2 linked regions of the Coturnix japonica genome follow. The protein of the gene in region 1 purifies or fractionates together with the protein of each later gene. This does not show direct contact. Links are inferred from orthologs where the notes say so. Each region holds a gene or a part of one and is shown on either strand. Other genes may lie near its edges.

Region 1 (4,254 bases):
CCAACTCTGTAGCAAGAAGTACTTTGTAATGTAGGATATTTCCAGTCTGGATCAAAGACAGGGAAATTCAGCACAGGAACTTAAGTTAGTTAATTCTAACTTAAGTTAGAATTTGGTTTATTGAAGTATCACAGAATTTTTGGATTGCAAGGAAGGGATCTCAAAGCCCACCCAGCCCCAACCCCTGTTGTAGGCAGGGCTGCCTCCCACCAGCTCAGGCTGCCCAGGGCCCCATCCAGCCTCGCCTTGAGCCCCTCCAGGGATGGGGCACCACAGCTTCTCTGGGCAGCTGTGCCACCGCCTCACCAACTTCTGAGTAAAGGATTTCCTCCTAACATCAAACCTAAACCTCCCTCTTTAAAGTTTAAAGCTATTCCCCTTTATCCTACCCCTGGTAATTTGGATCTTTAGATACACACATGCAATTTCTGCTCTCCTAGACCAATTTTTATCAACACGAGTGAGATTTCCATGTGGCAGTTCTGCCTACTTTCACCTGTGCACAAATGAACATATACTCAGGTCCTCTGGAAAATCAGTTGCCATTTGTTGATGAATTTGTGGTTCTTGTTTTAGACCAAGAAATTGATTTAAAATAAAAGGACAGCGGTCAGATATGAAACGCTTCGTGTGACTGTTCCAGGGAAACCGTTTGAAGTGAGGAGGAAGAAATCAGCCCGCTCAAGAGCTGCGCTTCCCCAGCCACAGAGACAACAAGGAGCTTCCAGTGGAGAGCACGGCTCGGCGAGCACCATTTGGTTCCAATATCCGCACGGCACGCAGTGACCACCGCCGTGCGGCAGGAATTCGGCACTCAATCCTTGCTGGGGTCCCGGCTGCTGAGATGGGGCGGTGGGCTCACACGGGGCAGTGCTAGGAGGAGAAAGCGCAGCCTGCAAACCGCTCACCTCGGAATGGTGAGAATCGCACCGGTGTCTCTCTGGGTTTTCTTTGCAAATCCCCCGCAGGCAGAGTTTGCTCAACTAGTTGAACTGGCTCTTTCTCCCTTGTTGTTTTTTGTTTTTTGTTTTTTGTTTTTCTTTTCTTTTTCTTTTTCTTTTTCTTTTTCTTTTTCTTTTTCTTTTTCTTTTTTTGGCAAACCAAGAATTTCCTTCCTGATAAAAACAGCCGGGGCCGGCTCCCCGATTGGGTGAGGGGTTGGGGAGGATATGACATCAGGCACATCTCTCTCTTCGTGCGGTGTGGTCTGCCTGATCGCTGGCTGCTTACCAGCACGGCCAGGGAGGTGTTTCCCTAACTCCCAGCCCAGGTACTTAAGTTTCTGCACAAAGCGGTGTAGTACCGAGTCTCAGCCTGCGGCCGGCTCCTTTGCGCTCATCTGCTGGGCAGATCGCTCCTGCACGAGGGGGCTCGCCGTGAACGATGGAATATAAACTCCTTAGAGTTACCGTGAAGTGAGAAAACAGACACTGGACAGACGGGGCTGAGATGGATGAGGAGGGAATGAATCAAAACGGCAGCAAGTCGCAAGGAGCAGGAGGCCAGGTGCCTGCAACGACTCCATCAGAGGTGCTGATGAGGGGTGAGTAAGGCTCCTGCCTCTGTCCTCACGTCTGCTGGCAACAGGAGCGGGCAGAGTCAGGCTGCAAAGGCGAGCTTCTATCGAAGTTACACTTCAGTGCAGATCCGCAGCCACATCCCCTTGCTCTTGCACTCCCAGAGGGATGTATTAAGCTCGATACTGATTTCTCTTGTGGTGTTTTTTTTTTCTTTCTTTCTTCTTTATCTTTTATTTTTTTCCTGGTGCATCACAGAAAAGCTGTCACATTCTGTAGTGCAGTTCATGCAAGCAGAAACAAATGCAGTAACTGAACTACAGCAAACTGGAAAAGAGATTGCAGTGTGACAGTGTGTTGAACTTCAATTGGTGCCAGCTCAGCGCTGGCTCAGTTCCTCTTTTCTTTTTCTTTACTTCCTCTGTATTTTTATCTGCTTTTTATTTCTTTCTCTTTTTTATTCCTTGTACCCGCTTCTACTTTGTTGTTTTTTTTTCTTCTTTTTTTCTTTTTAACTTTCTTATTCTTTCTGGTCAGCAGGACCAACTGCCCTTGCCCAGACACAGCCACTTGCCCATACAGGTTCTTCCACAATATCTATGACCTGGTGATCAGCTGTGACCAACACTGTTGTAGTCAGTGGTGAAGTTATTCAAATAAATGCCCTCACTCTGACTGTTGCTCTGTTGGCTGGCCCAGAGCCATTGAAAATACAACACAGTGACCAACCAAGGAGAAAGAATTTATCTCTACACAGCAGCTTAGCTAATGATGTTCCCTGCACCCCCATTTTCTGAGACACCATTCCTTCAGTTCATGGTCAGTGAAGTGGGATTATGGAGGGAAATTAAGATAATATGACTTCATAGTGTCCTTCTTTCCAGGGCTATTGAGAACACTTCTATCCTTAACACATAGAACAAAGAGACACTGAAAACTAAACAGAGGCAAACTACAGTTTAAATATGAGCAGTGTGTTGGCTGTGTTGCCTGCTGCTCCTCGTGTGTGTGCATGTGTATGCATGCACTGAGGCTAGGGTGGGAGTGAAGGGAAAGCGACGTCATTACAACAGTGTGAACCAAACCCAATTCACATGGGCCATGAGCTCTGCCAAAATGGAGCCTGGGAGGGAGAAAGCCTACAGGCAACATGGGTGGCTTGGTCTGTTGGGCGCTGGAGCTCAGTATGTTCCTCTTGCTCCTGCCTGGCTCTTAGCAGAGCCAATAAGCTCTGCTGGTGGCTTGCAGTGGGAATGTATTTGGCTACATATATCACGGGTGTTAGGTGAAATCCTTTAAATATGAAAAATACCACTCATAGTATTGTTATACATAATGCCATAGGCTTATGTAAATGTAAATGTGTATGCAAGAGCATGCTTCAGCTGAAAGGATTTCAGAGCCCCTTGTGAGCTACACTGTGTAAGGCTACCATGAAAGGAAAGCAGCCTAGGGAGTCACTGAGCGTGTGGCACCCTCTCCATGATCAGAGACTGGAAAAATGTTTTCAGCCTCTACCACAGAATGAATGCTCCTCTAGAAATGTGCTGTAAGGATATCCACAGGCAGCAGTCAAAGCTTGGTTGTTCATGCAGTTACTGGTATAAGGCTCCCTCTATACCTGCCCTGCCAGGTGGATGCAGTGTCAAGTAGGACCAGAGGTTTCATGTAACCTCTGGGCTGGCTGCAGTTTTCAGCAGTGAAAGGGGAGCTGGATGGCCCCAAGCCACAAAAAGTCAGTGGGTTTTGGATGCTGAAAGCCATGAGGCCTGACAGAGCATAATTGTGGATCAAGGTGCAGGCAAATTTCAAATATGGATTAACAGTCTCATTTTTCCATGAGAGAGCAATTGTACATATTCTGGGAGACAGAAATCTGCTCTGCTGTGGCCATATGTGCAGTGAATGCAACTGTGCCAACTGTGTACACTGGCCTTTCTTCTCCATGGACTGCTCTGACAGCAAAGTATTTGAAGAGCTTTCTCAAATGTCACTGTTAGAGAATTTAAGAAGTCTAGGGCTAGTTAGCAATGGCAGTTATTTAGGCTTTAATCAGGTGCCTGTATATGGTAATAATAGGGATAATTTATATTACTGATACTGTATCTACTGTGCCATGCAGTCAACAGGACCTTTCACCCTTTATTCACAATTTACCTAAGATGATCTTAAATCTGTCTTAGGCCTCCACTTCTATTTAAGATAAAGGACCCAGTCCTGCCTAGTACAGGATGCCCAACCAGGTTAGGACATCCTTGCATATACCCCTTTTATTTTCCACTGACACTGATCACTCTTCTAATTCACTGTTAAGAATTTATGAAATTAGAAGTTAGTGGTCATTCCACAGATCTCTATGATCTGGTTTGGAGTCTTAATGGAAACTTGTTTTTTCCTGAAGAAAACACTGAGTTGGATGGATAAGGGCTGCATGTGTAAAGTATTTCCTCAGACCTTTATATTAAGCTGCAAATTGAGGAAAGGTATGTCCTGTTAAATGCATCACATAATGTTTTTGCCTGTCAAATAAATCTTTCATAAAAGCTCTTGACATGACTTAACAGGTTTGTTACCAAATTTAATCATAAAGGCTCCCTCCCATACCTCCTTCATTCAACCAGAACTACGCTGACTCATTTCCAGAAATTATTTTTGGCATGTGGTATTTTTATGAACATTGGTTCTGAAATATCAAGTTTACTTCAAAGTAGGAGTTAGAATTCTGGTTCTGATGCAA
Region 2 (4,344 bases), about 51 Mb from region 1:
CAGAGATGTCTACATCCACACCACAGCCTATAGAATACCTGCCTGTATCTCAGCTTCTCTGGTTCACAGACAAAGGTACCTGTAATGCAGTACTCACACTGTGCTTAATGCACACATACACAATGCACACATTCTACTGACCTTGCCAGAGACCTCATAATATCAGCACTGCTGTGGAATATGTACACAATGGACAGTATGTGATACACTTCCATCTGTATTATCTAGTTATATACAATACATACCATTGTATAGTTGCATGCTTTATGTATACAATGAATATTGCATATATACTTAAATGAAAGTTATATTTATTCCATATAACAGACTTATTGAAGTATTCTGAGACTGGAAACTTTGTCAAATAAGAAACTTTCCAGTACCTCTGTGTTACTTCTCAGTTAGGAGAAGGCCTTGATTAGGCTATTTATTAATATAATAAGGCTGCAGGCCTTAGTTAGTCAACACTACTTAAATTTTCAGAGAGCAGAGATTTGTTGAATGTTGAATGTAGCTTTTCTATGTAGCTAACACCTTAGGGGCTCTATGCCTTACAGTGTGCGGGGTGACCTCATTGCAGCCTTTCAGTACCTGAAGGGACACTTCCCAGGAGGGAGTAAACTCTTCGAAAGGGCTGACAATAGCAGGACACGGAAAATGGATCCAAGTTAAGAGGGAAGATTTAGGTTGGATGTTAGGGGAGGTTCTTTACTAGAGAGATGTGGTTAGGCCCTGGAACAGGCTGCCCAGGGAGTTGTGGATGCCCCGTCCTTGTGGGTGTTTACAGACACAGGTTGGACGGGCCCTGGGCAACCTGATCTAGTTAAAGGTTATGTTTGGTGGCCCTGCCAGGCAGGGGGGTTGGAACTACATGATCCTTGAGGTCCCTTCAACCCGGGTCATTCTGTGATTCTGTGTAAGCAGAGGGAGGTGTAGGGCTCTGTCCTGAGAGGTCAGAGGAAAGTTGAATTGTTTTCTTTAAGATACGTTTTGGATGAAGGATGCCTTTTTAAACAGGAAAGTAAAATTATGGCTCCTATGGCCACACGCTGAAGAATCACCGAACAGAAAAGCTGGGAAGCCTGAAGGGTCCATGAGGAAAAGCGCCCACCCCCCCGGGCGCCCTCAGCTGGGGGAGCGCTCTCGGGGGTCGGCGGCGGCCAGGGGTCGCTGCAGGCGGAGCTCCCGCCCGGGCCTCCCTCCGCGCTTGGCGGCGGGGCCGGCTCGGCGGCGCCGCATCATGTGGGCCGGCCCCTTCCATGGAGCCGGGGCTGCTGCCGAGCGCCTCCTGGGCGGACGCCGCCATGAGGCTCTGAGGGGCGGCTGCGTGCGGAGGAGCCACCCGGTAGAGCTGCGGAGCGCCCCGAGCACGGTGCCGGCCTCGCCCCCGGGCAGGGGAACCCGGAGCTGCGGCCGCTGCTCCTGCTGCCGCCGCCGCGGGTCGGGCCGGGCGGGCGGGCGGCCCGCGGCCATGTAAAGCGGCGGCGGCCGGGGCAGAGCCGAGCACGGGGAGAGGAGCCGCCGTCGGCGGGGGGGAGATCATGGCGACGTCTAATCTCTTAAAGGTGAGAGCGGGGCCCGGCCCGGCCCTGCGCGCGGGGAGAGGCGGCCGGGGCCGGGCTCTGGGGCTGCCCCGCACCGGCTGGGCCTGCGGGCGGCGGCACGGGCAGGCCGCGGCGCTGCGCCCCGGGCGGAGGGGGCGGCCCGGGCCCGGCCTCGGCTGTGCGGCTCGGGGCTCGGCTCGGGGCTCGGCTCGGGGCCCGGCCGGGCCGTGGCCTCCCGCTCCCGGCTCTGTCCGCCCGGGCTGCAGGACGGGGTCGGCCCTTTGTTTATTGCGGGGAACCCCGCGGTGCAGAAAAGGAGTTTAGAGTTGAACAAAGAGTTGGGCAATGCCTTCGCCGCGAGCAGGTGTCGCCGGTCGGGTTGCCGGCGCGTTCTGGCCTTTTCCTTTCTGCTAACTGCGCTTTGCTGCGAAGGAAAAACTCCTCGAGGCCTTTAATCGGCTCCGCTTTGGGGGTCAGATGTTCTCAGGCCCGTTCCCGGTGTTTGGTGGCAGATGTCACTCACCCCAAACCGAGCCAAGTTCGCACACAAGTTTTGGCTGTCACAGGCCGTGCCCGGCCCGGGGCTGCCCGGCCTGAGCTGGGCGGCGTGTGCGGGGACCGGGCCTTCTGTGGCCTCCAGGGCTGTGCCAACGTGCCCGGGGCCGGCCTGCCCCACACAGCTGCTCCTGGGGCGTCAGCCTGATTGAGGTGCGAGGCCTTCACAAGGCACCAGGTTTACTTACTTGCAGCAGTTAGCACTATAAAATGGCTGTATATTTAGAAGTGTATGTGTGGCCGGTTCTATGTATTATACTTAAGTAGAGTTCTGAGGAGGTGCTGCTTGCATTTCGCCAACCTGACCTGTGCTGGGTTTGTGGGTTTGCCCTGAAGCTGTTCTGAGACACTCAGTGAGAAGGAAAGAGGAATAATCAATAGCCTCATGTCTTCCTCACGCACATATACACACGCTCATATATATATAAATTTATTGAAATTGACATGCAATGAAAATGAGTTTTCATTCAATTTTCCTCCCTGTTGTCTAGATATTAAAGCAGATAAGACCAAACCGACTGAATTCAGGACTGCAGGAGAAAAGCTCCACGTCCCGCTCAGAGCTATAGGGGCAAAAAGGGGGTTTCTTTAGGAGAGCGTGGCTTTAAAGCTTGGACAAGCTCAGACAATGTGTCTGCTTGTTATTGCTTTAGTCCACTGCTGAGGGGCTCTGGAAAGGCCTATGTGTGCTGTGACAAGACGTGGCTGTATAGCTTGTAATAGCTGGAAACAGGCCTGTGAGATCTGTCAGCATTCCTCTTCAGCTCATAGGAAAGAATAAGTGAATGCTAAGTGCAAATAGAGTCAAAGGCCTTGCTGTTGTGAGATGGCTCTCACTGATCTGAAGCTGTTTTGTTGCTGTAGTGGCATCCCTGCAGTTGGCCTTTAAATCATTAGCATTTTAAATGGACAGAAAGATACACGTGCACAGTGTGTTTCCGGAACAATGCTACCAGGGGGTTTAGAGCACCTGGGAGTATTTTCTAAGCCGTATGTCTTATTAATTAGGGAGTTTTCTAAAGACAATGAACTACGACTGTTGCCTCGTGAAAGAGAAGGTCATACAGTGATTTGGCTTTGTTTGTAATGACACACTAAACCAATAAGATAATTGTGACTGGATAAGGGCTTTTGTTCCCCAGCTGTGATGCTCAGTGTGCTCCCATTGCTGTTGATTGCAGGTTGTTGCCCATTGGCAGTGCCTTATGCTGACTGAGATTTGTGAAATGCAATTCTGCTTTCATGTTTAGGGCAAAGAAAGAATAAAAAAAGAAAGAAAAAGCAAACAGTGTCCTCTGCATAGTGAAAACGTATCAGGTTTTTTGGTATTAAAAACAAAACCCCAACACACGATCAAACCCACGTCAGGTTTAGGCGGGTCTCAGTTTTGTTGGGATAAACAGGAACTGAGAGTTTGCTGCTTTTCCCCGTCTTCCCTCAACCTTCTGCACAGCCGAGAAAATGAAGTGAAATGCTCCTTTCTTACTCTTGTAGTGAATCCTGGCTGAGCCGATCCCTGACAGCCTCTCATCCCTTCACAGGGCGTCGCTTCATCTTTGCTAGTGCAGTTTTTAATTGTGAAAGGTGAATTAATTTGTAGGGCAGGTGTTGGAGCGTCAGCTGTTGGCTTTGAGGTGACGATTGGTGATGTGAAGGCACACGGGTTTCTCTGCAGCTCCTGGGACAGAAAGCGGCTCAGCTTATCACAGCGCCAAGGAAACCTGTAGCTGTACCCACGTGAGCTGGTCTTGATGCTTCTGTAGGGCTTGTTGGAGCTGCTGGAGGTGGCAGCAAATGCAAGAGTTGGTGAGAGCAAGTTGAATTGCAGTCTGAGCCTGGTGTTAGGGGGGAGGCAGCAAAACAAGTAGGTTTGCAGTAGGCTTAAATGAGAACCATGATCTACCTTTCATTTGTTTCAGCTGTGTTTTGTGGGTCGTAGTGCTCTGTCACTTAAAACTGGAAACATTTCTGCATTTTTCTAGTTCTTCAACCTAAAATATTTCCAGATACGTTAAGTTTCTCCTGCCTATTTCCAATTAGAGCAGCTTGTGGTGAATGCTGCGTTCCACGTAGTTGCACAGCGGAGCTTTCCCCATGGCTGTCTTTCTGCTTTGTGTAATGGCTTTGCTATGATCATCTCACTGATATTTAGAGCTGCTGGGAGCAGAGAGGAATCAGAATGGGAATTCTGCTTACTGTAGGCTGGGACCTCATCTGTCCTACCTCATTCCTTCTGAATTAGCCT

The links.
Region 2: the proteins of ASB9 (region 1) and CUL5 purify together in Homo sapiens (affinity purification with mass spectrometry; 6 studies listed by BioGRID and IntAct, counting the BioPlex papers as one, with this or other methods). This does not show direct contact. The link is inferred for Coturnix japonica from reciprocal best matches to the Homo sapiens genes ASB9 and CUL5.

What each region holds. Positions count from the first base shown.
Region 1 is NC_029516.1:110,029,323-110,033,576, forward strand, and holds the start of ASB9 (ankyrin repeat and SOCS box protein 9), read left to right. Parts: upstream 1-1,160; 5' UTR 1,161-1,449; coding exon 1,450-1,543; intron 1,544-4,254. UniProt on the Homo sapiens protein: Substrate-recognition component of a cullin-5-RING E3 ubiquitin-protein ligase complex (ECS complex, also named CRL5 complex), which mediates the ubiquitination and subsequent proteasomal degradation of target proteins.
Region 2 is NC_029516.1:161,332,266-161,336,609, reverse strand, and holds the start of CUL5 (cullin-5), read left to right. Parts: upstream 1-1,259; 5' UTR 1,260-1,541; coding exon 1,542-1,565; intron 1,566-4,344. UniProt on the Homo sapiens protein: Core component of multiple cullin-5-RING E3 ubiquitin-protein ligase complexes (ECS complexes, also named CRL5 complexes), which mediate the ubiquitination and subsequent proteasomal degradation of target proteins.